Linked DNA regions of Mus musculus. The protein of the gene in region 5 interacts with the protein of the main gene of each other region in a pairwise test. Links are inferred from orthologs where the notes say so. Each region holds a gene or a part of one and is shown on either strand. Other genes may lie near its edges.

Region 1 (4,060 bases), on a different chromosome or scaffold from region 5:
TCTTACTTGCCCCAGATGAAGCTCAGCCACCCCTCCCAGAGATCAGCTAATACCTGCCCTTGTCTTTCCCGAAAGCTAGGCAGACTGTGGACACCTCCCCGTGGCCCACCCGTGGCCCTTGCTCCATGTCTTGTAGGGGTAACTCGAAGAGTAGCTTTCTGCTCTGAGGAATCAGTTTCCAGCCTCCCCACCCTTTTACACATGTCCTATCGTGTGCAGCTCCTGCCTCACACCCCAGAGGGCCTGCTTAGGCCTCCCTTCATCTTCCCCTCATGCTCTGACCTGTGTCTCCCACTCTGCTCCCCACCACCTCGAAGCTCCACCAGTGAACCAGACACAGGAACTTTCCAGTAGCACTTGTGTCCAAGGAAGAACTTTCTCCCCTTTCACTGCTGCCAGGGGTTACGGCCCAGCTGAGTTTCCTTGTGTGAACTGCACTTCCCTCTCCTATAGTACAGACCAGCTCTGGGAGGTAGCACAGCTCATGAATATTAAACATTAGCATGAATAAGAATGGACCTTTCCCTCCAGGCTTGAGGCTGGAAGCCTAGCCTTCCAGTAGCCTAGACAGACCAAAAAAAAAAAAAAAAACCAACAAAAAACCGAGTTCAATTTGTTTTTTGGACATTTTTCTTTGTTGTTTTGTAGCAGCCTTGAGATGAGATCACTCAAACAGTGGAATAAGGCTTCTAGGGTAGGAAAGAACCCAAGAGTCTGGACTCTCTTTCACTTCCTTTCCCACCCCTGGAAGGGAGGAGTAATGAGACTGAAGTCCAGAGCACAGCTGCCCTGAGAGGGGAGGCTTGGTCAGTGGGAAAGTCAGTCACAAGGCTCATCAAGATGGTGGCAGGTGGTAAGGCTTGGGGGAAATGGAGAAAACAATAAAGAATCAGAGGAAACCCCTAACACTACCAGATAGTCCAGACTGAGGCAGGGCTCTACCAACGTCCTCCACCCTGCCCCAAGCGAGCCGAGCCGGCGGCGTGGTCAGGGGTGGCCGATGCTGGAAGCGGGAAGGAGGAGGGAGAGGAAAGGGGGCCGAGGAGGGAACAAGGACAGTTCTGTTTCTCTTCCAGGGACCTGACCAAGCTGGGTGGAGGGAAAGTGTGTGTGGGACTTGGCGTGAAACCACCAATGATGATGAGAAGTGACCAGGAAATTCCATTCCCTTAGGACATTAGGGTCTCTGAAACTTGGAGGCCCGTGTCAGAGTGTGAAGACCAGCCAGGGTCACTGTGGTAGTGCGGGAGTTGGGGGTGGGGTGGGGTGGGGTGGGGGGGGGGGGAGGAGGAACAAAGCCAGAAAAGGAAGTACTAAGCTTTGGCTGTCACTCCTCTTCAAAGCAGCCAACGAATGGGCTGGGAACAAATAAAGCCTGAGCTGGCTAGCTGGGGAGGGTGGGATGCTGAATCCATGGCCCACTACTTCATCCCCACAGTAAAAAGGAAGCCAGGAGGGATCAGGGACAAAAGCGCAGAAAGCCACATCCTTGACAGGAGGGCCCCTCTCACTTCCACCAGAAACCCAGAACTTGAAATGACAAACCCTAAACCACCGTCATCGTCCCGGTGGGCCTTACACACTTCAGAGCTGTAGAGGGGCGAGCAGGAGAGAGGTGGGGAGGAAGGATGTACACAGGTAGTTCCCCGAGCCTGTGGTAGCCCCAAACCGGTTCTCCCGGTCCCGCTGCCTCCGGCCCCAAGGCCTCCCTCTCCAACCCGCTGTCTGACAAGCCTTCACAAGAAGCAAGAAGCAGCTGGAGAGAAAGAGACTTGAGAATCGTGTGGGCAAATTCTGGCTATAAGCCCGGGGATGCAGCTGGTCCCTGTGTGGAGACCCTCCAAACATAGCGGGCTGCTGAGGGACTCCCAAGAGAGGAATGGGCCCCATTTTCAAACAAGTTACAGATATTTGTCCGAGCACCAACCCTGCCCTAACCCCAGGGAAGGGCTGGGGATACTTAAAAGTTAACAGAAGGAGATCCTAATTTCTTCCCCTCCCCCAATATTCTCCGTCAGACTCCAGCTCCGTCCCCCACCCACTGCGACCCAGGATGGGAACTTCGATGAATTGTACTGGCTCTGTCAATGTTCTCCGTGGCTGCTTCACTCTGGCTTAGACCTTCCGGGGCCCAGCACCACTTCGGATTCTCTAGCACAGCAGATCTCTCAGGTTAGAGGGCCGGCGAGGAGCCCCTGTCGCTTCGCACCTTCCACCCGGCCCCACGCTGCAGTCGCCGCTTCCCTGCCTCTCCGTGGCTTGCGCCGCCCGCGCGTGTACTGTGATCGCGACCTCCCCGCTGCCCTGCCCTCCCCTCCCCGCCGCCCGCGCGCAGCCCGGCTCGCCCGGCGCTCTTACCTGCGGCTCCCCGGCGTCCCCACTGCGGGCGGGGGCTCCGCCACTCCGGGTCCCCTGGCTGCTTCTCGGCACGGCGGGGAGTTGAGGGCGGGCCGGCAGAGGTGGGGCTGGCGGAGGGCGGAAACGCCGGCGACGCGATTACGAAACCCAGGGGCTGAGAGCGGAGCGCAGCGCTCCGCCCAGCTTCGGGGCGCACGGCGTGGCCCGCGGGGACAGCGGCAAGCACCGCGCTCGGGGACAACCGCGGCACCCCAACTGTCTGTGCTAGTCTGTCCACCTGCTGCAGGCGCTGAGAGGACGATGCGCTGGGGCCCTTTCTGAGTCTCCCAAAGTCCCCTTTAGTCCTTACAGTGGGAAAGGAGGGCCATTCTGTTGTTTAACCGGAAGACTTTTTAACCCATACATCTAAGTTAGAGGACAATTAACTGCTCAGCCATGCGCTCCAGTCAGCACGAGGGTACTTGGAGAGGTGGGGGTGCGGTGCGAGCCGACGGAGAGGCTCTACGGTGGATAGCGTGTTCCGGAACCTATCCCTCGAATTAGCCGAGTCAGGCAGAGAGGGGGCGGGGAGTGCTTCCGCCCTTGCTAGGAGGGGCTGCATTGCAGGGGAGACCCAGCGGCAGATTCTGTCACAGACGAGGGAGAAGGCGTGAGGAGACAAAGCCGTCACATCCGCGACAGCTTCCTTCAGCAGCCTCCTCCTCTCCAGTCCAGAGCCGACCCCCGAGCCCCTGAGGCATCCCTTCCGTCTTCGGAACACCCTAGTCATTCATTGCTAACAGGTAACCAAGACGAGGGACCGCTTCTTAAGCTTGAAAGACCCCGTGTGAGACCGAGGTGGGGGGCAGTTTAAGAGGAGAGAAGGGGGCGCTATGAACAATGGGTTACTATTCGTTACCAGATTTTTTATCTGTTAAGATCTCCATCCATGCCTTACCATGGACCTAGGCATTCATTTCTAGCACTTTACCTGTAATCATCTCTCGGCATTTAGCTCTTCATTTCATGTATTCATTTTCCTATAATTTTTGCCCTGTGCATCTAATGGCTTCTGTCTAGTGTCTAGTTATCTATATCTTCCTTTTCAAGCTATAATTTCTGCTACCAGTTATTTGGTGAATCTTTATTCCTACTGTAATTATTGTAGCCTCTACTCCCTTGTATTTCTATCCCCCTCGATTTTCTGTCTCTTGTAGGGAGGTTTGGGGAGTAGGGTACTTTTTTTTTTTTTTAAACATGAGATGCTATTGAGAGTGATTGGAACCTTTAACAATCTCCTCCCTATCTCAGATTTTTGCTCCAAAGAGGCTTTAGGTGGGACAGGTGGGAGCCATTGTGGGATTGCCCGATGGCATGCTGCAATCAGTGTAGCTCACAGGAACTACTTATGACAGCAGATTTGTCTTTGCAGCTCCTCCTAGAAAAAGGGGAGGATTGTGGCTAATAGGAAAATCCTAGAGCAACATGAGAAATACCAGGAAGCCTCCATTTTCATCCACCACCATCCCTCCTTAGACTGCATGGTGGCAGCATGACACAGCAAGGCCCTGTGGATTAGGCCTTGAATGCTCTTGGGGGGATCTGGACAAAGGGTATTTGGGTGTGTCCAGGTAGTTTAAAGAAAGTGTATCTTTTAAATGTGTGTATCTACTAATCATTTTATCTCTAAGAATAGACAATGAAAATTTAGAAGTTACTCTGC
Region 2 (4,137 bases), on a different chromosome or scaffold from region 5:
TATCTCCCTAGCTTCCCTCCATCTTAAAAAAACAACAGGATCTTGTTATGAAGCTCTGTCTTGTCTGGAACTTTTTTTTTCCCCTTTTTTTTAGACCTGGCTAGCCTTGAACTTGTGTATCGTCCAGCCCTTTCATCTCAAGCCCTAGATTAGAGGCATGCACTCTTTGGTCACAATGAGGGCCGTTCTACGTCAAAGAAGGTGGTCTGAGACAACAGGGTTTTAGTCAGCTCTGTTTCCCCATGCAGTCTGGGACCTAAGAGAAAAGGCTGTGATGCCCCTGGTGGCCTTGAATGCCACTCCCAGGAGCCTGGGTTTATTTGGGTCAAAGATGAGAGGGGTCTGGGAGGTTTGAGAAATCAGTTGCTTTGCTGATTACAGTGGTCCTGGCTTAAGGGACTTAAGTCATACACAGACTTAAGGGAATGTATCCCCAGATCTCCAAAGCTAAGGAGTCGCCTTTTCTTTTCTTTTCTTCCCTTTTCTTTCCTTATGGATGGATGTTGTCAAGAAAAGAGAGGTAGGGAGGGCTGGGGAGGGGGGAGGGCGGAGTGGGGGGGGGGGCTGTCCACATTCTACAATCTCAGTGGAAAAGACTTCTCTGAGTAGATTCAGCAACCAGCAGAACCAGAGATGGCCTTCGTGAGTCACTGTTCAGACTTGCAAGCTCAGCTCTGGAAGCCCGCTGTGGTCAGCCACCCCAGGTTGGCTCCAGGCCTAGCCCCCCACTGTCCCGCACTGGGCCAGTGTCTGTCCCTGTTGCTGTTCCATGCCTTTCCCATCCCAGATACGTGTGCCTCACAGCTCTCTGCCTCTTCTGTCTGAGTCTGTCTGTCAGTCATTTTCTCTAACCTTGGTTTCCACGTCACCCACGTGGGAAGAGTTCAGGACGGGAGGGGCGGTGTGACTAGTCTTAGATACCCCTAAATATTTATTCTGTGCCAGGCCTGACATACAGAGCTCGAAATATCAAAGTGGACAATATTCAGTCTGCCTGCTTACAGGGCACATTCTGTGTGGAGTGAGAAAACCACAGCCTAGTTCTGCCTCTGTCTCAGCACGCGTGCCTGCGCTCCCCCAACCGCCTGCTGTGTTCAGAGGGCCTGGGTCAGTTAGGGCCTGAGACCTGATGCCTCTTATTTGCTTCATCCCTGGGAAGGGTTATGTTCCTCCCGGGAAGTCCATCTTCTTACAGCTCCTGGGGGCCTGGCTAGTGGGTGGAGGTGAGCCTCAGAAGCAGGAGGGAGGGAAGGAGAGAGGGAGGGAGGGGCAATGACTCAGTGGGGGTGGCCTGGGACAAGAACCAAGGACAGAAGCCAAGACTGGACCTGATGCTCACTGAAGCTAGAGGAAGGAGAGATGGAAGACATGCCTAGGAGCTGGGGCTGGAGAAGGACAACTCCAAGGCCAGCCTTGCCCCTTGCTCTTCAGAATCTGCCTTAGAGTCAGAGATGGGTGGGGACGCCTGTTGTTTCTACCATGGCTGCAGCTGATAACTAGATTCATGAAGGAATCGCCTGACTTAGAGCCAGGGAAGGCATTATGTCCAGTGTCCTCTCCTCCCAGGGACCAAGGCCATGGTGTGGGGGCTACATGCCTTTGTCTGGTTGCACAGATAACCTTTTTCTTATGATCTTTCCACAAATTCAAGAGTGTTAGGCCAGGCCCACTTCCTCCAAAAGGACCCCAGACTTTAGAGTTAAGAACGAGTAGGGGTCTCCCAGCTATCCCAGTGTCTTTCATCAGTTCAAGATTCCCTAACGAAGGGTGAAGTGGGAAGGCAGGGCATGAACACAGATATCTGATCCATCCATCAGGATTTCCCTGGTCCATCGGGCAACCCCAGGAGAAAAGAATGCTTTTCTTGTCTTACAGGAGAGGAAGATGAGGTGCAAAGAGAAAAGGGTCCCTGGAACAGCCCACAAGAGGTGAGTGATGGAACCAGATCTCAGCTGGTCTCTGGCCCCAGGGCACCAGCTTTCTTAGCCACCCTTTTCTGTGGATAGGGAAAAAGAACTCAGGGAATGAGGGTTTGAGCCTTATGTATGTTGGCAGGCCTGGGTCAATTCCCACCCAGAGACATAGCTACCTACCCTCTTCACCTTCCGGGTTTAACAAGTCATGGGATGTCACCGTTTATCTCTAATTTATTTCTCTGTCTTTTTGTTGTTTGTTTTATTAATTAAACCTGGGGGCTCACACAAGTCAGGCAAGGGCTCTGCTACTGAGTTACACCTCACAGCCCATCCAACCTGTTCCGTGGTGGGTGGGCCTGAGAACCTGAAGGGGAGATTCAGGCTACAGAGGAGTGGTGGTCCCTCCCACTATCCGTGAAGATTATCCACACGCAGCTACCAGGGCATAGGGAGTCTCTCTGGAGACGGCCCCTAATCATGGACTCACATGTGTGTGTGTGTGAGTGTGTGGTGGTGGGTGGTGGGACAGCTCTGAGGACCACGAGGGCTTGAGTGGTCCTCATCTTGTACATGGAAGCTGGGCAAGTATTCCCATGTCCCATCACGGGAATGGTAAAGGAGCCTTGCCCTCCTCCCACAAGGGCGTCCTTTGCTTCGTGCAAGAGCCTTCTTTCCATCGGCAGAGCCACGGCTCACTCACCCTTTCAGACAGTTCCAGCTCTGAGCACAGTGAGCACAGTGGAATGAATGTTGCCGGGGTCGGCAGAATGAGAAGTCAAGGGAGGGCTCGCCAAGTCTCCGAGGCACTGAGAGTAGGAACCCAGCGGCCGGCGGGCGCGGATGCTCTAGGCAGGGGGCAGTAGGCGTGGTCCCAGCTCTCCTCCGCACCCTCGGCCTTGCAGAGCGGCGCCTTCCGGAAGAACCTGTGATTCGGTCCTCCAGCCCCTAGAGAGCGCCGCGTCCACAGCGGCCTTGCGGCCCTTCGAGCCACCAGAAGGTGGCGCCCTTGGAATCTGGGCAGCCTCGCTGTACCCATCCTCGAGGCTGCGGTGCGTTTGTTCTTCGTTAGTTCGACGGCTCTGGTGGTGTAGCCTCCCGGCTTCAGAGTTCCCCACTGCACGTCCCAGGGGTGTGAGTGTGCGGGTGACCCGTGTGGGGCCGGGAGCACTGGGACAGGCGCCTAGGCCAAGGCCTGGCAGGGTGGGCTAGAGCGGAGAGCTGCGCGTGAGCCGGCTAAGCCTGTCGTGAAGGTGTGCCCGAAGGTATGGCCACCCAGTAGTGGTTCACGGAAGCGTAAGCCAGTCTTAGGCCCAAAGGAGACCCTGTTTCTTCCCTCACCAGCACACCAGGCTGGACTACTTTACTTTTACTTTCAGGGGACCTGGTACCCAGCCTAGCACTTCCTCCTAACCGCGGAGTCTTGCCCCACCATTTTCAAACCAGTTCCTGGATGAGCTGAAGTTTCCTTTCACGTCAAAGTCCAACCCGTTATCCACTTGTCCAGAGCAGACCCACTCTTACCAGGGAGTGATGGAAGGGCCTCTTGAGTGTGGGGATGTGTCCCCAGACTCCCAGGGCCATGTTGCAGATGGGAAGAGATTTGCTGTGTGCAGTTTCAGGAACACCCGGAAGGAGGAGGAACCTGCTCACGAGATACAGGCTATGGACCCAAGACCTTCAAGACCAGCAGCAGGGGCAACCCAAGGCGTAGGGCTACAGGGGGATTTCTTGGCCAAGGAGCCTCAATCGCTTCCGGAACAAAGGGCTGAGGATGGGCCACGGGGCTACCAGAGGAGCATAATAGGAGCCCCCCCAACCCAGTCAGAGGAGCCAGCCTTCTCTGAATTGGAAAACCTCTTGTGTTCTGGGTCCTCTCACCTTAACCTGACACAGGGTGACAATGACTATCGAGGGGAAGGCTTGATAGGGGACCCAGGTCCAGGCAGAACGCTGCCAGCTGGCTGTAGCCCTTTATCAGAGACATCACCAAAGCTACTGGAGGCAGGTAAGGGAGGCTGGGAAGTCTGGGGAGGGAATGGGGCTCTCTGGAGGTGGGCATTGACAGTTGGGAGGTCTCTGACCCTCCTCTGTCTGAAGCCCTAGTCTGTGGACAGTGTCTCTGGGCGAATGGCCCGATTCAGACCCAAGCCATTTCTCTTCCCAAGACCCTAGTGGATCCAGCTTCCCTAAGCCTGCTGACTGTCTCCTAGCTCGAGACCTC
Region 3 (2,878 bases), on a different chromosome or scaffold from region 5:
TAGAGTGAAATCACACACACACTGGGCTGCTTTGCAGCAGGTGCCAGGGGCAGAAGCTGTTATTTGAACAAAGGCTCCTGTAACTTGGCAAGTTGACCCAGGTGTGAATGCCACGGAGGTTTTGGCAGGACAACTCACCAGGGGACCATGGGTAACTTCTGCCCCCTCGTGGCCATGTAATGCATTACAGTCTTGCTGCCACTATAGGCACAAGGAACTCCATCACCTGTCAGGCCTGGGAGTCCTGGAAGCGAGAGTTGGGCAGGTAAACTTTTGGAAGACACAAGCCTGTCCTGCCAGCCTGTGATTTCTCTGTTCTGGCCCTGGCTTCTGGCTCTTTCCTGTATCTACAGATCACCTCAGGTGCTTTGAGTTTACCTGTAGCAATCAGTCGGCATCAGAACCAGGAACCATGACCCAGTCCACACCAGGGACTGAGTGTCAAGATTCAGGTTAGGGTTAGTTTCACAGAGAGAGTATAGAAGGCTGTGGGGTCCTTACATTAGAAAAGCAGGCAAAATGGAGGCCAGCAGGTGTGTGTGTCTGTGTGTGTACAGCTTACCAAGGGTTTTCCTGACTCTTTGTCTCCAAGAACAGATTAGGGACCCCACCCCTGACCTTCTCCCCATTTCTCTGCTAGGCCTGGAGTCTGGCTTCTGCACCATCTCACGCCTGCCACGCGTGGAAAAGCACAGCAACCGTGACCGTGACCGTGACCCGGACCATTCTCAAGACCGAGAGCAAAGTTCTTTCCCCTCTGAGCCTACCCCTAACCCTGAGCTCCGACGCTCTGACTCTCTCTTGTCCTTCCGTTTTGACCTTGACCTTGGGCCCTCACTCCTCAGTGAGCTGCTAGGGGTCATGAGCCTTTCAGAAGCTCCAGCTGCTGAAACTCCAGTCCCTACTGCCAACCCCCCTGCTCCTGCAGCAAACCCTGCCCCTACTGCAAAACCCCCAGCCCATGCGATAACCACTCTAGATGCTGTGACAAGCCTTCCAGCCTCTGCTGTGACAAGCCTTCCAGCCCCTGCGGTGGCAAGCTCCCCATCCCGTGGACATTTCCCCAATGGGGTAACTTCTGTGTTGGGCCCTGCGGCTGAGGCAAAGCCCAGTCCTGTGGGAGAGGGTCCCCAGGTACCCTCCAACATGGCCTTTGACAGGCATGGAGCCAGCTGGGGGGCCAGCCGGGCCAGCTGGGGGGCCAGCCGGGCCAGCCGCCACTACACTGAGATGGATGCCCGGCGGGAGCTGGCAGGGGTGTTACCCCAAGTTCATGGCTCCTGGGAGAGTCTGAATGAAGACTGGAGCGCGCCTCCAGCCAGTGTCAGGGCTCCTGTGCCCACCTCGGTGCAGGTCAATGCCTTTGAGTTTGCTGATGCTGAGGAAGATGACGAGGTCAAGGTGTAAGGGACTGGCCATGGGCTCCAGGTCCTGTCAGCCTCGGGGCTCACAGAACAGAGGGGCTGAGTTCATTTGCCTAACAGCTACAAGATGTGGTCAACGGGAGTTGCCCCAGATCCTTCCTGGTCTATGCAAGGCAGGCATGGGTCCCCGCTGACCTGACCCAGCTCCCTCCACTGTCCCTAGGCCCACTAGCCCTTCAGTTATAACCTACGCCACCCCCTGTGGTCTGACAGTATGGTCTTTGTGCCCCAGGACACTTCCCTAGTGGGGTGGGGGTTGGGGCAAGGACCACATAGGGCCATTGTCTGTGAGTGGGACTGGCTGCCCCTACTCATTGAGAGCTACCGCAGAAGGCCTCCACTGTGTTCTCAGTAGCGCGGTTCCAGGCTCCTCCTCAGTTCCCAGAGAAAGGTCAGGCGTGACACAGGAGCAAATCTTCTGTGTACCCCAGACCTGCCTCCCATACCTGATTGTTAAAGCTTCTCTGTTAAGATCTGCCTGCCCAAGGAGGCAGGCCCGGCCACGGCTGACCTGTGCTTTCTCCTCCTGAGAGTTTGGAAAGTTGAGGACCCCCTTCTGGCGCCCCCCCCTCTAGCTAGGAGAGAAGGGGGGCCAGACGAGCTAATGAGTAACCAGCCTGGAATGTTCAACGATAAGAAGCCCAGGTGGGACCCTTATCTGCAGTTCCTGGAACACCCTGGCCCCAGGTGCCAGGAACCAGTATCTGCCCCATAATCCCATGGGGCTGCTTGGCAGGTGCTCAGATCACCGGGAGGGAGACAGGTCCCCATGCAGAGGGTGGCTCAGGAGCACCTCCCATCCTCTCTTCTCAGCAGTACTATACCCCGTGCCTCAGTTTCCTGCCCCCCCCCCCGGTACCAAAGCCGGGGTGGGGGGGAGCATTAACATGCGTGGAAAATGCTAACAGTTCTTGCTGTGGAAATAATAAATGTGGATTCTTTTATTTGACCTTGACCTTGGGGAAAAGCACAGACCCTAAAGGCTGTGGTTCTGGTGGGGGCTTGCTGGAGGGCTGGCTGAAGCTGGTTCTGGGGGCTAAGGTCTTCTGAGGTGCCGCTCACTCCAGTTTGAAGGAGGAGATCTGGAGCCCACCCATGCTCAAGTAGTGCAGTTGGTTGTGGCCCAGCCTGTTGGGGAAGGTCAGCTGGTGTCCGTCAGGCAACGTCACCTTGAAGTCTTTATCTTGGAAGGTGATGGTGATCTGCAGGGAGAGGAAGCTTATCAGGAGAGCCAGGGAAGGGTCCTGACAGGTGCCTGGTGGCGCTCCCCAGGTTGGGGCTGGAGGGCCTTGGTTGGGTTCTCCTTTGACCTCACCTTGACCTCTGACCCTGGACTGAAGCACATGTGATTTTCTCGTTGCTCTTGTCCCCAGCGGCCACCTTCACTGGTGTTACAGACAATGGTGGATTCATCGAAGCGAGGGTTAAAATGCAGGTTGAGGGTTTCTTTCCCC
Region 4 (4,058 bases), on a different chromosome or scaffold from region 5:
GCACTTGTTATAGTTAAGTTTCCCCCGCCTTGTGATCAAGATTGGCCTTAAATTCACTCGCCACATAGTCTAGTTGTTTCAAATGGAAGTCTACCTGCGCGGTTTTTACTAGGTATATGCCAATCCTCTTGCTTTTTACTCTTAGGTTGTTTGTCACATGCCTTTGTACTAGCCTTTCTCTACTCCCATTTTCTTTCTGGCCAGTTTCGGTCCACCAAGGTTTTAACACGAGTTCTCCACAGGCCTGAAAGTCATTTGGGAAAAGTCCTCTTCTGCAATCAAGGACCCCCCCCCCCCCACTCCCCCGTTTGTGTTCAGCTCATCCCGTGTTATTTTACTGTGTTACCATTGCGGATTCTTTGTTTCCTACATCACAGCACTTCAAAAGAGCGGATATTTTTTCATTTTCTTCTAATATTCTGGATTTTACAGCATAGAAACAACTCAGTGAAAAGTCTGTGGAATGAATGGAAAGAAATACTTGGCCACGGGGGCGGGAACAAGTGGGGGGAGGGGCGTGCGTGTGTGGAAAAGGGGCGGCGCTGAGAATCCAGCTGCAGAATGAGGAAGGGGCTCGGACACACTAGAGTCTGCGTGGAGCGCAAAGCGATCCACTGCTTCCAAAAACTGAGACAAACCTAAGTAGGGAGGAGGCGTCTTACCTATTCCTCAGGCCTCACCAACCCAACCAGCCTTCAGGGAGCTCTGTACTGGCCGGAAAGTGAGACTTAAGGTCGTAATCCCAGAGTTTGCCTTTCCAACCTTACGACGTTTTTATGTAGTAATCGAGAATCTAACACGGAGGTCTCAGCCCTGCCGTAAAGTGAAGAAGGAATGGGGAGGCGGGGCCATTCGGAGGGTGGAAAATAGGCGTGTCCGCGCAAGCGCAGGCAGCCCGCTCCAGCAGCGTCACGTGCGGAGGCGGGGCCGGGCGGGGCTGTCCGGGGCTTGGCAGCAGGGGGCGTGGGAGGTAAGTGCGCGCGCGCCTGCTCGGCTGCTGCTGGAGAGCCGCGCGGGGCGGGGCCGCGTGAGCGGGGTCGGGGGCGCGCAGGCCTGAGAGGACTGGGGACGCAGAGGCAGTTGGCGGTGGCCGTCGGAAAGTCCTGGCAGGACGGGGAGGGACTGCGGCGGAGATACCGGTCCCCGGGCAAAAGCAGGGACCGCGGTTTAGCTTCCAACGCGTGCTCTCTGGGCGGGGTGCGGCGGGGGATGTGCCTGCCCAGTCCGGGCGGAGTCTCTCTGACAGGGCGGGGGATGCGCGGCCGCCGCTCTCTCGGACCCTGAGGCGACTGGGCCCACCCTCGCGGAACCCTCCTACCCCCCGGCGGCCTCGGCCTCTGCTTTCTCCTTCTGACCCTGGAAACCGAGCTGGGGAAGCGGCTACCGCCGAAGAGGAAGGGGCTGTGGTGGCCACCGCGGCGCAGCCAGAGGTAAGACCCGCCCCAGCACCCAGCGGCCCTGCCGCCTGGCCTGGCCCGGCCCACGTCTCCCGCTCGGCTCTTTGGCTCCCGGAGGGCTGCCCCGCCCCGCCCCGGCGGAGACGCCCCGCCAGCAGCTCTGCCCCTAAAGCCTAGCAATCGCCGGAGTACCGCCGGGATTCCACCCCCAGACTCGACTCTCCCGTACCTTTCATTGACCAGACACCATTCTGTCCACCAGTAGCCGCGGCGCTTCTGTCACTGGCCCCCTTCCACCTCCTGCTAGAACCTCTTTAGACCCTCTTTAGGACTCTGACTGGAACCTCTAGACACCGTTATGTCGGAGCGGATCCTTGTCTGGGAACCAAGGCCACTACTGCTTCCTAATGCATTGCTACGTCCCAGATCTTTGGGTATCCTACGAGTCATCGCTACCCGAGCTTTCATAGGGACCCTCACGCAGCTTACTTCCAGTCAGGTTTGCTAGGTTTTCCCCCTACCCATACGAGCTTTCAGATAGCCCAATGTCATGATGCTCTTACCTAGTAGGTCTCCGGTTAGCCCTTCAAATCACCATCAGAGTGCTGGATCGCCCCCTCACACCCCCCCCCCCCCCGCCCTGGTGTAGTTTCTCTAGAAGACCTCTTAAGCAAACCTTGTTACCTGATTTCTAACCAATCGGGATCTTTGGTTGAAAAGAAGTTTCCAGGAAAACTCGAAGGGGTTATTTACATAGTCCAGTATATTCACTCCATTGGATTTTAAGGAGTCAGACTGAGACCCATGTTTGGAGCCTCAGGGACTGGTTGCTGAAAGGGAAAGAGAGCAAAGAGTGTGAAAGCCCAGGCAGGGAGGGTATGTGTGCTGTTACAAGGGCAAGCTGCTTGCTCCTCATCTTGTCTCTTCAGTAGAAGGAAAGAACCAGTCTATATCTTGTCACTTCTGGGCTTCTGTAAGGATTAAGTTGCATTACACCAATGAAGATAAGTAACTCTTCATATATTTGTCTCAGCACTGTAGATTTGTACAGATACACAGGTTTTTAACTAGAGGAGTTTTGGATTTACTGTTTTTGAACTTGTTAGAAAAACAGCATTTATAGCTGTTCTTAATCCCTGAAGGCTAATGTTTTTAGTATTTTTTTACCACCCAGTCTTCTCCAAGGACCAAGTATAAGTGTCATTCAGAATTGAAGTTATTATTAACAGCTTTCTTAGTAGTAGTAAAATATTGAATAAAATGTTTGTTGAAATTATACTCCTGAGATGTCAAGAGGGAAGCGTAATGTTAAGTGTTAAGTGTATAATTTTAATGTTTATGTAAGGGTGGGGGATATTTTTGTAGTTAGTACTTACGGTTTTTTTTTCCTTTCATTTTTTTGTGTCTGTGTGTAATACAGGGAGAAAAACCAATTTACATTATGGGTATTAATGAGACACAGTTTAGAAGTCAAAACCATCAGAATAGTGTAGTAAAAAGTTTCTCTTTCTCCAATCTCCAATTGTTCATTTTCTATTTTTCAGCTTCTGTAATTGGTATGATGTGATATTTCCAGCGTTTATAAGCTTATATCTGTATTTTAAAGACACACAAACTATACACAAATTATTCCATTTTCACATACTACTGCTGAGTCCTAGAGATCATTCAGCAATAGTGTTCACGGAAGAGCCACATTTACTGGTTGGGTAGTATTCCATTTTGATGGACTTGGATTTATTTTTAGTCCTTTTTCTAAAAATTACTGCAAGCTTTTATTCTAAATGTACCAGGTATTATATGTATAAATGATTTTCATGGTTTGAAAAAATTCTGATAATTATTTTTGTATTGAACCTATAAAAAGAAGTGTATCTGAAGTAAACTTCTCATGGACTCTCTTGAGCTACAACTCAAGACTACTTTTAATGGTAATTATATTTATCAGATCAATTATTAAAGGATTTGAAGTGAGGGACCAAAATGTTCAGATGAGCATTTTTAAAAGTCACTTTAGAGCAGATTAAAAGTAGAATAAAGTTAAAGCCAGAAATATATTAGAAGGGTGATACCATAGTTCTGAATTTGGATATTGGTAGTTGACAAGTCTTGGTGATTTGATGGAAAAGCATACAGAGAGGACAAAATTGGAGATATTGTTCCAATCTTTCCCCTTATGTGAGGATCCATATGATGAAGATTTTAATTTTTAGTTGTGACATGTTAAATAAATGGCTGTTACGGGCTGGAGAGATGGTTCAGTGGGTAAGAGCACTGACTGCTCTTCCAAAGGTCCTGAGTTCGGTTCCCAGCAACCATATGGTGGCTCACAACCATCTGTAATGACATCCAATGCTCTCTTCTGTTATGTCTGAAGACAGCTACACTGTACTCATATAAATAAAATAAATCTTTAAAAAAATAAATAAATGGCTGTTATGTAGTGAATTTGTGTCAGAAATTCATAACATCAGGTTCTGTGCCAGTAGTAAATTTTGGAGGCAAAGATGTATAGTTACAAGGAAGAGATTTCAGGCAGAAACTCAATATTTAGAGCATATAAATACCTAGATTAAGTTCTTTTAAGAAATTATTAGTAGTGAAAAACTACAATCTAATGTGTTGTTTTTACCACTAGTATTACTGTTTTAAAGATTTATT
Region 5 (3,500 bases):
AGCTGACCACAGAAACAGGCTACCAAGGAAGCTTTTATGTTCTATAAAGGTCAGAAATGTGCCCAGTCTCTAATTATAAACTATATTTATAGATTTAGAAATTTTATTTTGATACTAGAAGAGCAAAATCAAAATCTTAATTTTTAAATCTAAACTTAACAGAGATAAAACACAAAGTCCTAGCCAGGCGGTGGTGGCTCACACCTTTAACCCCAGCACTTGGGAGGCAGAGGCAGGTGGATTTCTGAGTTCGAGGCCAGCCTGGTCTACAAAGTGAGTTCCAGGACAGCCAGGGCTACACAGAGAAACCCTGTCTCGAAAACAAAGAAACAAACAAACAAACAAACAAAAAGCCCCACAAAGTCCTAATCTTAGGAAGCTACTAAATTATTGTCAACTGTTAAGGATAATTAAGAAATGCAAGTGAAGGGGCTGGAGAGATGGCTCAGCGGTTAAGAACACTGACTGCTCTTCTGAAGGTCCTGAGTTCAAATCCCAGCAACCACAAGGTGGCTCACAACTACCCATAATGAGATCTGACACCCTCTTCTGGAGTGTCTGAAGACAGCTACAGTGTACTTACATATAATAAATAAATAAATCTTAATAAAAAAAAAAAGAAATGCAAGTTGATAGTAACCTTATAAATAAATGATCAAATCTTTTAATGTGTCCAAAAATATATTTGAGGTTTCTCTATGAATTGACGTAATTACAAGATGAAGTTTTACTTAGCCCCTTGTTTTATGTTTGCAAGGTACAGTTTAGCGCAGATACCTGAAAACAGACAAAGATTGTTTAACTCAGATATGCTCGGTGGGTACTAGCCCTCAAGCCTGTCAGAGACCTGTTGACTATGGCATTTAATATGCTTAAACTTATTATATGACAGTGACTCCCAAATCCTAACAGTGATACACAACCCACCTCTGCAAGTTCTTCAAGAAGATATAGGCAGAATGACAAAAGACTAAACCTGGATTAGAGTACATTGACCAGTGGACAGACTGGCCCCTGCCTTGCCCACTAGGGCCCAGCCTGCACTGTGGGCAAACCGGACACGGGAAAACTTACTGCTATGATTTATTGCTAAGTGTTGCTGAAGACAAGATGAGGTCAGTCTCTCCCATGTTCCTTCTCCACAAAAAAAAAAAAGGCCTCCCTCTTCTGGCCTAATGGCCAAAGACCACCTCTGACCACAGTGCAACAGGACCACAGGAATCTGGGACAACTGTCTAGATAGTGGTCTCTGTCATTCCAGACTGCTCAGAGCACTGGAATCTCCCAACCTTAAACAGGCATCCCAGTCTTCCAGAGCTCTGACATCAATGTCCTAATTTCAACTAAGAAGCAGTTACAGAAGAGATTATGTTGCCCTTATCATAAACAAAAGGTTGAAATGTCAGGGCCAAATTCTGACAGATGGACAAAAAGCCCTCACTCCTCAGGAAGTCATTTCCTTATCACTGGCAGAAGGGACAAATTGCTACCTAGGGTGCCTATTAGCATAACCAAGTGCATGCTGACCTCCACCCACTCCTTACCCTCAACTTCTCCAGCTCAGAAGCCCCCATCCCACCCCACCCCACTCCACCTCCAGCTTCTCATTCCCTTCTATTTCAGCCCTCTCTTGGTCCTCCTCTCTCTTCTTCCTTCAAACCCCACCACCACCATGGCCAAGTCCAGTTTGCTGGCCATGTTCAGTCTATTTTCTCTCTCATCTCTGGATTCTTCCTGATGTCTTTCCTTCATATCTACAATAAAAAACCTTCCTCTCAACTATACCTTGGAATAGTCATGTCAGTTTATGTACTCTGCAGAACTACACTCACACAGTATACATTCACGGACAAATTTTTAAGGGAAAAAAGAAAGAATAAAAGGAAAGAGCCTCTGTATCCTAATGCTCAAAACAACTGACTACAGAGACATAGGTTCCAGAGCCCTCCTTACCTGTGTGAGGGCAGAGCACTCCACATACTTGACAGCCTTCAGATCCCGCGCCAGCTTTTCAGCAGTCTCTGGAGTAATAGGCTTCTGTTTGTTCTTGGCAAGTTTCTCAATAGTAGAGGGGTCATCTCTGAGATCAATTTGGGTCCCAACAAGCAAGAAAGGAGTCTTTGGACAGTGGTGAGTTATCTCAGGCACCCACTAAAAGCAAGGTTTTAAAATGTTTTGTTAATCCACAAGCCACTGAAACTGTAACAGGGCAACAGGAATTCTGTGCATGTTTCAAAGGGCAGAACCTGACTTACCTTTTCTTTCACATTTTCAAATGAGGATGGAGAGACCACTGAGAAACATACTAGAAAAACATCTGTCTGTGGATAACTTAGCGGTCGTAGTCTGTCATAATCCTCTTGCCCTAAAGAAAGAGTTAAGAGAGGTTGGCAACTGAGATTTGGTATCCTCGCGGCATTAAAATCACAGGTCAGGGGCTAAGGCTATAGCTATTTAGTATACAGAGTGATAACCTAGCACACATACAGCCTTGGACTCAAGCCCTATACCACATTAAAAACAGGCATGGTTGGCACAAGCTTATAATCTCAGCACTAGTGAGACAGAGGCAGGAAGGTTAGGTGTGACCATGAGATCATATATCAAAAAAATTGTCAAAGATGAACATGGCGGAGCTAACAAGATCACTCAGTGGTAAAGATGACATGCCTAACAACCTGAATTCAGTCCCCAGAAAACAGACGGTGAAAGGAGAAAATCAAATCCCCCAAGTTTAGCTTCTTGACCTCCACATATACATGCTATGGCATGTGCTTCCACATATATACATACATACATGTAATCTAAAAGGAAAAAAATGGAGATAGTGTGCATGCCCATAAACCCAGAGCTCAGGAAGCAGAGGCAGGAGATCACTACAAGTTTGGGTGGTCTACAAACCAAGCTCCAAGTCAGTCAAAACTACATAGTAAAAGTCTTGTTTCAAAAAAGAGGTGGGCAGGGGACTACAGCTCCGCTAAGACTTCAGGTATTCAGCTCTTAGCATATCAGCCATTAGTGACAAAGCAATTTTGCTAATCAAAGGTATAGCTTTGTAATATGCTGTTTGGACAATACTCTCTGTGCTGGTTCTATTTATATATGCCACTAAATTAAACAGCAAGGAAATTGGCATACTACTTTTTTTTAAGTTCTTTATTAATAACTTAGTAGTAATGTAACAACAATAAATCATTACTACAGGTGTAGTTTAAGAAAAAAATCATATTTACTTCTAGCTACTAAAGATCACAGTGAGACCACCTAACAAAATACTCTACTGAAGGCATCCACCATCCATAATAACTACCAGACTAAGTCCAATGCTCGATCCATAGGTGCATGTTAAAGTCAGTATCTGTAACTGGAAAGGCCTAGAAAAAAGGAACTTGGCAAGAATGAAGGAGATGTAAAAAGAATAAAATAATTAGGAGTTAGCCAGAGGTGAAAGGGTCACAAAATAAAAATGGCAAAAACTAAACATAGGAAGTCCTAAGAAA
Region 6 (3,500 bases), on a different chromosome or scaffold from region 5:
GGGAGGTTAAACAGAGTTTCCTGCACTTCAAAATTGTGCTGACTGCCAATGCCTTTTCAAAACATTTGCTAGCATTCAGGAGTTTCCTTTATTTTCCAACAGATCCAGACAGACCACAATGAACAAGCCATTCCCAAGCTATCTGTCTGTGTAAAACTGAAAGATGATCTGTGCACTTCAGCTATTAATGATTACTTGGTCTGGCCCCTACCATCCGTATCTGAATGGAAGATGAATTGCCTGGTAGCTCTGTCTGTGGTTTGGCTTGCACAGTTTCTAGCAATCACATTCTTGAGGTTGAAGATGAGGATGATTAAGTAAAAGCTGCCATTTCTTTCTCATCCTCATAGGGTTCACTATCATGTAGGTGGAAGGGCACCCCTGTACTTCTCTGCCTCCTTCCCCAACCCTCATTCCTTTGTCTCTCAGCACAGGCTCCTCTACTACTTCCCCAAGATTAATTCGCACTTTTGATTCCAATGACATCAATGACTTCTGTGTAGGTACCACACTTACGAGATTGTCCTCAGTTATAAGCACCCTATCCTACTGGAAGATCACTCCCATTCTGTAATGATGGCACAACGGAAATAAAACAATAATTTTAAACTAATTATTGCCCTGGATATCTAACCTACTTGAATGTGTTTATTTAATCTTCAAAATAGTCTCTCATTGTATTGGGGCTATTACTATTATTGGAAGTTCAGAGAAGGTAAGAGACTTCCAAAGGGACACAGAGTTTGTGATATGACTTGGACCTCATTATCATTTCAAAGTTTGTACTCCTAATGAAACCAAGAGCATTTGTTGAGTCCCCCACTGTGAGCCAGAGGTTTTCATTGAAGTGGCATTATTATTATTATCCCAACTTTTGTGGATGAAGAAATAGAAAAAATTAAACAACAGGCTGAAACAGAAATAGCATCAGTAGGTCATTGTTTTGAATCTAGGTCTTTCTGTCTCCAGTATCTGTCTTCTTGTGATACACATTCTACAGAGAAAGTTTTTAAATGTACTTATGATTCTTACACCCATTTCATAGGTAAGAGACAGAGACCAGGCAAGGTTAAATGACTTCTTTCTGGCAGCCAGTATGCAAACACATTGAGGGGGCATAGATATGGTAGAGCATTTTGGGGCTGGAAGGTCTGAACTTGAGATGTGTACTTCCTAAGAAAGCATTTTCCATTTCTCTGTAGGTTTTCCTTGGCAAGATTCATAAGCATAAAGGAAAGCTGGCAGATATAAGTAGCCTGATTGCTAGAGCGAAAACAATTGACTCTGGACTCTAATAAAGTATAAAGTCCAATAGAGAAAAACAGTCACTTAATTCTTTTTTTTTCTTTACAATTATTCTCATTAAAACTTAGCTCTCATTAACAGTTAGTTCAGTGCCTTCTTCTGTTTGTCCTGTTGTTCCTTGATGCAGACCAAGATAAATAAGCCAGAAAGGTCCCATCCATATCACTGTCACAGTCTATAGGGAAAAACCATGGCTCAGAAATGCAATGCCTATTTCTCAGCTTTCTTATGAAATGAATAAATCAATGTTCATGACAATGAATGTGCTAAGGTTCGAAAGAGACACCAGAGAACAGTCATTTTGACTAATGCATGACTGTCAGATTTTAAAAGTCTAATGTAATCTGTCTCACAGTTCATGTCATATGTACAAAACAAAGGAAGAACTGTAGTGATTATCTGAATCACTGAACCTCATTTTCCTGAGGGTTCTTTATCTCACCCCTCTGTTTGAAAAACGAGTAGTTGAGTTATGCAAAACCGAAGTGGCTAATGGGCAAAAGTGCACGCTTTAAAGGCATAAAGATGTGAGGTCAAACTCTGCCTCTACCACTCATTATTATGGTGACTTGGTCACTTAAGCATTTTAAAATTTATATTCAGTGTTCTGTAAAATGTAGACGTTAAGATCTACCATAAGTGACTGTAGAGAAAATAATATATGGAAAGTGGCCACTCACAAAGTGCTCCTCGTGTAAGAATTATTGCGGTTGTGCTATTAGAGCAAATGATGGGCACTAAAGCTAGAAGCATATTTAATGGAGGATAGCAAAGTCAGTTTGCTAAATTGTAGCAATTCCAGGTCTGAGTGTTGACAGCTGAACTTCAACCTTGGCTGCCACAAACATCTCTATTTCAAATGACGATAGTGCTACATATGAAGCTATTTTGAATGCAGTAGACACAAAGTAATTATTCTGTCCAAATCAGAATTTTGTTGTGAAAGGCAAGGGAGGGGATGTCGCATCCTGATCCCTACCAGTATCCCTAGCCTCCATCATCTAGATGACAGCAGTCCTGTATCAGTTGGGAAACCAAAAATTGTCTTAAGCTAGCTCCTTCGTAGCAAAATGGCTCTGTCGCCATGACTACAGTGCCTCCTTGTGGCCAGCAAATGAATTTTCTCTTTTCCTTTGCTCTGCTCTGTTAGCTGAAAAAAAAAATGTAAAAAGTGACAGCCCCTTTACTCTCATTATGCTACTAAATCTTACCCTGCAGAGGAAAAAAAAAAGGAATAAGGCACTTGTAAGAGTTAAACTGAGCACTGATTACTAATATGTAGCCATTCTTTATGAATTTAATAATACAATTCATAGAACCTTGACTTTTTTCAGGGGAAAACCTATTTCTGAATCTTGAATCTTGAGTACTTTGTCAAATTGGAAAGGGCAGAAGTATGTGCGCACCAATGACACCTTGGAAGCAACTGCTGCTCCTGCCTCCCTCCCCACCGAGATAGGGGAAGCTATTTTATCTGAGGCTGCAAGTTTTCTATTGTACTCTATTGGACTTTAAGGCTGATTTTTTTTTTAAAAACTAATGTCTATCAATGGGGACCTTCTGGTATAGTCATGACATACTTTAATTCTTTTTTAGTATTGTAATCTTAAACTTACTACCATAATATATTTTGTCCTTTACATCTTCATTGACCATTTTGACCATTCAAAGTGAAAATGCTAAGTTTCTGTCAGAGTAGGACTATGAGGGAGAAAATAACCACTCTTAGAAACAGAAAGTCCTAAAAAATTACTTCGTGACATAAGAGATCCTAGAGTCCGACAAGAAGATTGGAAGATCTAAAGGATCAAGTCTCCTCCTAGTCACTGTATGAGAACTACTTGCTGATGGGAAGGCACTCACTCAGCTTCTCTAGGATCTCCTCATCCGTCATCTTGGACTTTTTTCTTTGCCGATCTGTATTCCTGTACAAAGTGGTGGAATTGGCATTCTCAGCAGAAGGTGGGATATCTTCTTTATTTGGTGCAGCTGGTGAAGCAATTGACTCAACCACGGAGCGAGTATAGATCTGAAAGACAGACATACCCAGCACAATTTCACAATTCAAACAGTAGGTAAGGAAGTATGGCAGCAAGGGACTGTCACGTCACTGTTAAAGAACATTAAGGAAAATCTTACATGCTAATTCGCATCTTGCTGCTCCTCTCTTAGTAATTCTTCCTATCTGGTTCTCA
Region 7 (4,060 bases), on a different chromosome or scaffold from region 5:
GGAGTGGTGGGACTAGAGGACAGATAGCCCAGCCCTTCCCCATGCTGCGACAGAGACAAGGTGGGCTGGACAACCCTGACAGTGTTCTGTTCCATTCTAGAAGCCAGGGCCTGAGGAAGGGAAGACAGAGGGAACCTGGAGGGACACAGCAGATTGGAGGCCTGGGCTGGAACCCCTCCCCCACTGCACAGGCAGAAGCAGCAATGTGACACTGGAGACCACAGGGGCCTGCGGGCAGGAGGTGGAGGAGGGGCAGACAGGAGAGCTGACTGCCTGAGTGGACTAGGGAGGAATGACGGGTGAGGGAGGTCCTGTCAGCACTTTGGTTTGGGGTAGGTAGGGGGTTAGGGTGGGGCATGTCGGTCCTTCTGTCTGTCCGTCGCCCTGCCCGTCTCCCAGCTGGAGCTCAGTCCTTCCACTCCTTTTTGATGGTGAGATTCCACTCCCAGGACAGGTGGTCAGTCTTGTCGTCATCTGTGAAGCGCGACTTGATGTTGTAACTGCCCCGAGCAAGCATGCCTTTGGGAGCCTCCTCCATGGGTGTCAGGAACTCATACTCCTCGGCCCTCGGCCCATAGCTCCCGACCATGTAGTCAGTCTTGTCAACTGAGGGACAGGAGAGGCAGGATTACTGGTGCTGCACGCCCCTCCCAGGCCCAATGGCTCCCCACTCTATGGCCCGCCCACTCACTTTTGACCCCTTTCCTGTATGTGTGTTGGATGTACTTCATGCCGGACACGATCTCTCTGTTCACCTGTGGGGACACAGAGCCAGGGTCAGCTGCCTTCCCAGGCTTGCCCCTCTGCCCCTTGTTTCCAGGCCTCTCAAAGCCCCCACCTTACCCGGAAAGAGATTTTTATCCGGTACTCCACACCTTCCTTCAAGACAAACGACTGTTTCTTGAAGCTCTCCAGATCACCTGTATTGAGGAGGAGTCTCCGCTGACTGCTTGCTTGAAGGGCTCTCCACCCTGCTACATTCACTCTCCCCAGCCCCTTCCCTGACACAAAGCAGAGCTTCGGCAAGCCCCTAGCTGCACTTCCCCTCTTCTCCACCAGAGGGCATCAGTGCAGAAAATTATTTTTAGGGGTAGAGGCAAGATGCCAGCTGGCCCCACCCAGGGATTCTAATACCCACTCACCTGTCAGGTCCAGTTCCAGAGGGCCTGGGGCAGTGCTGCATACCAAGGTCAGTCGAGTCACAATGACATTGGGGACGTTGGGGTCTGCAGAGTGAGAGTTAAGAGTCAGAGTCCCATCCCTTAAGATTTTTCTTTTTAAACTCACTCCTTGGAAGAGTGGTCTGGAAAGAGACTGGGCACAGGTTTAGATGACATCCTTCCTCCAAGCCACCTACCTGCAGAGACAGCTACTCGGCCCAGCAGGGCCTCCTTGTACTTTCGGAGGCTTTCATCGTCCTTGTCCAGTTCCTGGATCTCCTGGATGCTCTTCTGGGCTGGAGGCTTGTAGTTCACAGAGTGCTCATCTTCCTCATTCTCTGCAGCTATCTGCGCAAGCTGCTCAGCAGTGGGTTCCTGTTCTGCCATGCTTACCTCTAGCTTGGGACACCTGTGGGCGGGGCATGAGCAGGACTGTGACAGCCTGGAGGCATTCCACCCTAGGCAGACCCTGACACCTGCAGGACACCTGACTGGAACTTTGAGAGGATGCTGCCACTGCCCTACGCAGAGGCCCATTTGAGAGGACTAGAACCCCAAGCAACGAAATGGGACCACAGCCTGTTCCTCAGAGAAGCAAAACACCTTTCCTCCCCACTAAGAATAAGCCTCCAGACCGAACTGAACTGGCAGACGCAACACTAAATCCCTGGGGTCCTGTTGCTGTCCCTAGCTGCCCAGGCTCTCATCTTACTGGGTTGGGTCATGGAGGTAAGTTCTCCGACAGGGAGATGCTCTGTATGTTAGCCACGTGCAGGACAAGGGTCTGTTTGTTCGTCCCTTCCAATGGAATACTGTCCTAAGCTCAACTATGTGATGACCGCTTAAATCCCAAGAGCCCAAAGGGGATCCTAAATACGCAGGTCTGTCCTCTCTAGTGAGGGTCTGCGTATGCAACTTGGGAGCTAGTGCACCGCTTGCAAATAAATCTCAGGAGCCTGTTTCTGGGCCCTGACCCTAAACCTTTAGTGGCGGTGAGGAACCAACCAGGACGGAAGCGCCTAGATGCCTTTCAGTTCCGCAGATTCCCAAACGTCTCTCGGAAACCCACTGTGATGCCTACAGGCAATGCGCAGCGGTCCCGGGAAGAGCCCGGCCGTTGTCCCTCTGAGAGGTGTCCGCCAAGGAAACACATAAAGCGGCGGTCCGAAACCCGGAGGCTACAGACAACCCCACCCGACGCCAAGCGTGGCCGCCGGCGACAGCATCAGGGCGCGGCCCGCACTTCCGTAGAGCCCGCAATCCGAGCGGGGCGGGGCCGCGCGGCGGGAGCCCCGGGCCAGGCCCCGCGCCGGACCCCGCCCGCGAGGCCGAGGAAGGGGGTCCCCTGGTAGCAGGCGCGCAGGCCCGGGGGGCCGCGGCCCCTCCGGCAGGACCTGCGCTGCCGCCCTGGCCCGCCCCGCCCGCCCGCCCGGGTGACCGCGCCCCGCCCGCGAGCGCCGCAGTCGCCCGCGACGCCGCACAAAGCCAACCCACTCCCCTCCCGCACTGCACCGCGCTGCGCCACGCGCCCACTCACCGGAGGCTCGACCGCCGCTCTCGCGCTCCCTCCCGCACCAAATGACGAACGTCGTCCGCCGCCCGCCGCTCGGACGGTCACTTCCGGGGTCACAAGACTTCCGCTCTCGCGGGCGGGGTCGCCTTGCGCATGCGCCGCCAGGGGGCGCGGGTCGGCGCCGTCGCCATTTTGCTGCGGGCCTCGTGGGCGCGTCCCGCGTGGGCCGGCGCCCTCGCGCCTTCTGCCGAATGCCGGGTGCGAGGGTTTGTGGGACACGAGAGCCGGCTCTTCCAGAGCAGCGTCGCGCGGCCATTCTGTGGCTCCCAGGGTTCCCTGATTGCCGTGCCTGGCCCTTGTCCCATTGTCCTCAGAGTCAACAGAACCACAGTCCTCACCGACCGCAGTGCCCTGTAGCTGTGCTGCCTGGCGCATTGCTCTGGGGACTGCGTGCCCCCCGAGCCCCCGTATGTTAGAAGTTGTATGGTTTTGCTGTGAGGAGCGGTTTTCCTTGGAACGGGCTGCCTGCCTATCTTGAACCTCATCCCTGAGACGCGCCCGCCTCTGCCTCCAGGATGCTGAGATTGAAGGCGTGCACCATCACCGCCAGGCGTGTTTCACGACGCTGAGGATGGAGCCTCCTTAGTGGAGGGCCTGGCTGGGGGGGTTCCCGGTCGTGTGCTTGTGCCAGCCACTCCAGTTCCTCCTGAGGAGTCTCAGTTCCTGCTACTCCGTGAGGGCACTCCATGTTGGCTTCTTCTGAGTGTAGCCTCAGACTGAGGGGAGGCAGGAATTTAAGGGGCACTACGGGGACTTCTATAGCTTAATCCCACAAAAGCCATCGCTTCTGGCCTGCTCTGTTGGCCACACCTGCCCCTGTGGTATCCAGGAAACAGCTGTTGGCTCCGGAGAGTCATCAAACTTAAAAGATGAGGAATCCAATGGCCTCCACTCTCCATCTTCAGTTGTGGCCCAGTTATTTTACACAAGCACGCATACCCTCTGGCTATACATCAATCTGAAGCAAACCAAGTGTTCTTTCAAGCTCATTTATTTTTATCTCTAAGGAAGATGGATTTGCAATATCATTACCCTACATCCAGGTAGCTGCTCTTCTATGCAGAACTATTCTAAAACAAAAAGCCACGTGACTATCCCCACTCTTACTGTATGATGAATTTGGCTGGCCTTCCACCTACACACAGGTGTGCCCAACGAAGTGTGTCAAGCTGGCTTTTCAGGAGGCTCATGGTCCTCCAACTGGATGAGCCTGGTTTATTGAGCTCTGTGCCACCCACAATTCCCTGGTTTGACGCTCAAAGTACAAATCTTCCAAAGCTGCGTTTTTATGTTTATGCATATCAATATTTTGAAGTAGTCTCTGAAC

What was found.
Region 1: the proteins of Cdc42 (region 5) and Cdc42se1 interact in binary tests that used the Homo sapiens proteins (3 or more experiments, as listed by UniProt). The link is inferred for Mus musculus from reciprocal best matches to the Homo sapiens genes CDC42 and CDC42SE1.
Region 2: the proteins of Cdc42 (region 5) and Plekhg4 interact in a two-hybrid assay, tested with the Homo sapiens proteins (2 studies listed by BioGRID and IntAct, with this or other methods). The link is inferred for Mus musculus from reciprocal best matches to the Homo sapiens genes CDC42 and PLEKHG4.
Region 3: the proteins of Cdc42 (region 5) and Cdc42ep1 interact in binary tests that used the Homo sapiens proteins (3 or more experiments, as listed by UniProt). The link is inferred for Mus musculus from reciprocal best matches to the Homo sapiens genes CDC42 and CDC42EP1.
Region 4: the proteins of Cdc42 (region 5) and Myo9a interact in a two-hybrid assay, tested with the Homo sapiens proteins (3 studies listed by BioGRID and IntAct). The link is inferred for Mus musculus from reciprocal best matches to the Homo sapiens genes CDC42 and MYO9A.
Region 6: the proteins of Cdc42 (region 5) and Pak3 interact in a two-hybrid assay, tested with the Homo sapiens proteins (2 studies listed by BioGRID and IntAct). The link is inferred for Mus musculus from reciprocal best matches to the Homo sapiens genes CDC42 and PAK3.
Region 7: the proteins of Cdc42 (region 5) and Arhgdia interact in binary tests that used the Homo sapiens proteins (3 or more experiments, as listed by UniProt). The link is inferred for Mus musculus from reciprocal best matches to the Homo sapiens genes CDC42 and ARHGDIA.

The regions. Positions count from the first base shown.
Region 1 is NC_000069.6:95,227,164-95,231,223, reverse strand, and holds the start of Cdc42se1 (CDC42 small effector protein 1), read right to left. Parts: upstream 2,801-4,060; 5' UTR 2,359-2,800; intron 2,282-2,358; exon of another isoform or gene 2,210-2,281; intron 2,173-2,209; exon of another isoform or gene 2,019-2,172; intron 1,616-2,018; exon of another isoform or gene 1,592-1,615; intron 1-1,591. UniProt on the Homo sapiens protein: Probably involved in the organization of the actin cytoskeleton by acting downstream of CDC42, inducing actin filament assembly. Alters CDC42-induced cell shape changes.
Region 2 is NC_000074.6:105,371,935-105,376,071, forward strand, and holds the start of Plekhg4 (puratrophin-1), read left to right. Parts: upstream 1-1,337; 5' UTR 1,338-1,884; coding exon 1,885-1,928; intron 1,929-2,818; coding exon 2,819-2,965; exon of another isoform or gene 2,966-3,047; intron 3,048-3,292; exon of another isoform or gene 3,293-3,446; coding exon of another isoform or gene 3,447-3,529; coding exon 3,530-3,921; intron 3,922-4,081; coding exon 4,082-4,137. UniProt on the Homo sapiens protein: Possible role in intracellular signaling and cytoskeleton dynamics at the Golgi.
Region 3 is NC_000081.6:78,848,525-78,851,402, forward strand, and holds the end of Cdc42ep1 (cdc42 effector protein 1), read left to right. Parts: intron 1-640; coding exon 641-1,407; 3' UTR 1,408-2,378; downstream 2,379-2,878. Other genes in the region: Lgals2 (galectin-2), read right to left, coding at 2,483-2,626, 2,740-2,878. UniProt on the Homo sapiens protein: Probably involved in the organization of the actin cytoskeleton. Induced membrane extensions in fibroblasts.
Region 4 is NC_000075.6:59,749,916-59,753,973, forward strand, and holds the start of Myo9a (unconventional myosin-IXa), read left to right. Parts: upstream 1-1,258; 5' UTR 1,259-1,430; intron 1,431-4,058. Other genes in the region: Senp8 (sentrin-specific protease 8), read right to left, coding at 347-349. UniProt on the Homo sapiens protein: Myosins are actin-based motor molecules with ATPase activity. Unconventional myosins serve in intracellular movements. Regulates Rho by stimulating it's GTPase activity in neurons.
Region 5 is NC_000070.6:137,326,760-137,330,259, forward strand, and holds part of Cdc42 (cell division control protein 42 homolog), read right to left. Parts: intron 2,366-3,500; coding exon 2,256-2,365; intron 2,152-2,255; coding exon 1,954-2,151; intron 1-1,953. UniProt on the Homo sapiens protein: Plasma membrane-associated small GTPase which cycles between an active GTP-bound and an inactive GDP-bound state. In active state binds to a variety of effector proteins to regulate cellular responses. Involved in epithelial cell polarization processes.
Region 6 is NC_000086.7:143,735,091-143,738,590, reverse strand, and holds part of Pak3 (serine/threonine-protein kinase PAK 3), read right to left. Parts: intron 3,335-3,500; coding exon 3,169-3,334; intron 1-3,168. UniProt on the Homo sapiens protein: Serine/threonine protein kinase that plays a role in a variety of different signaling pathways including cytoskeleton regulation, cell migration, or cell cycle regulation.
Region 7 is NC_000077.6:120,578,825-120,582,884, forward strand, and holds the start of Arhgdia (rho GDP-dissociation inhibitor 1), read right to left. Parts: upstream 2,801-4,060; 5' UTR 2,698-2,800; intron 2,424-2,697; exon of another isoform or gene 2,166-2,423; intron 1,570-2,165; 5' UTR 1,548-1,569; coding exon 1,358-1,547; intron 1,227-1,357; coding exon 1,143-1,226; intron 921-1,142; coding exon 844-920; intron 756-843; coding exon 692-755; intron 607-691; coding exon 407-606; 3' UTR 1-406. UniProt on the Homo sapiens protein: Controls Rho proteins homeostasis. Regulates the GDP/GTP exchange reaction of the Rho proteins by inhibiting the dissociation of GDP from them, and the subsequent binding of GTP to them.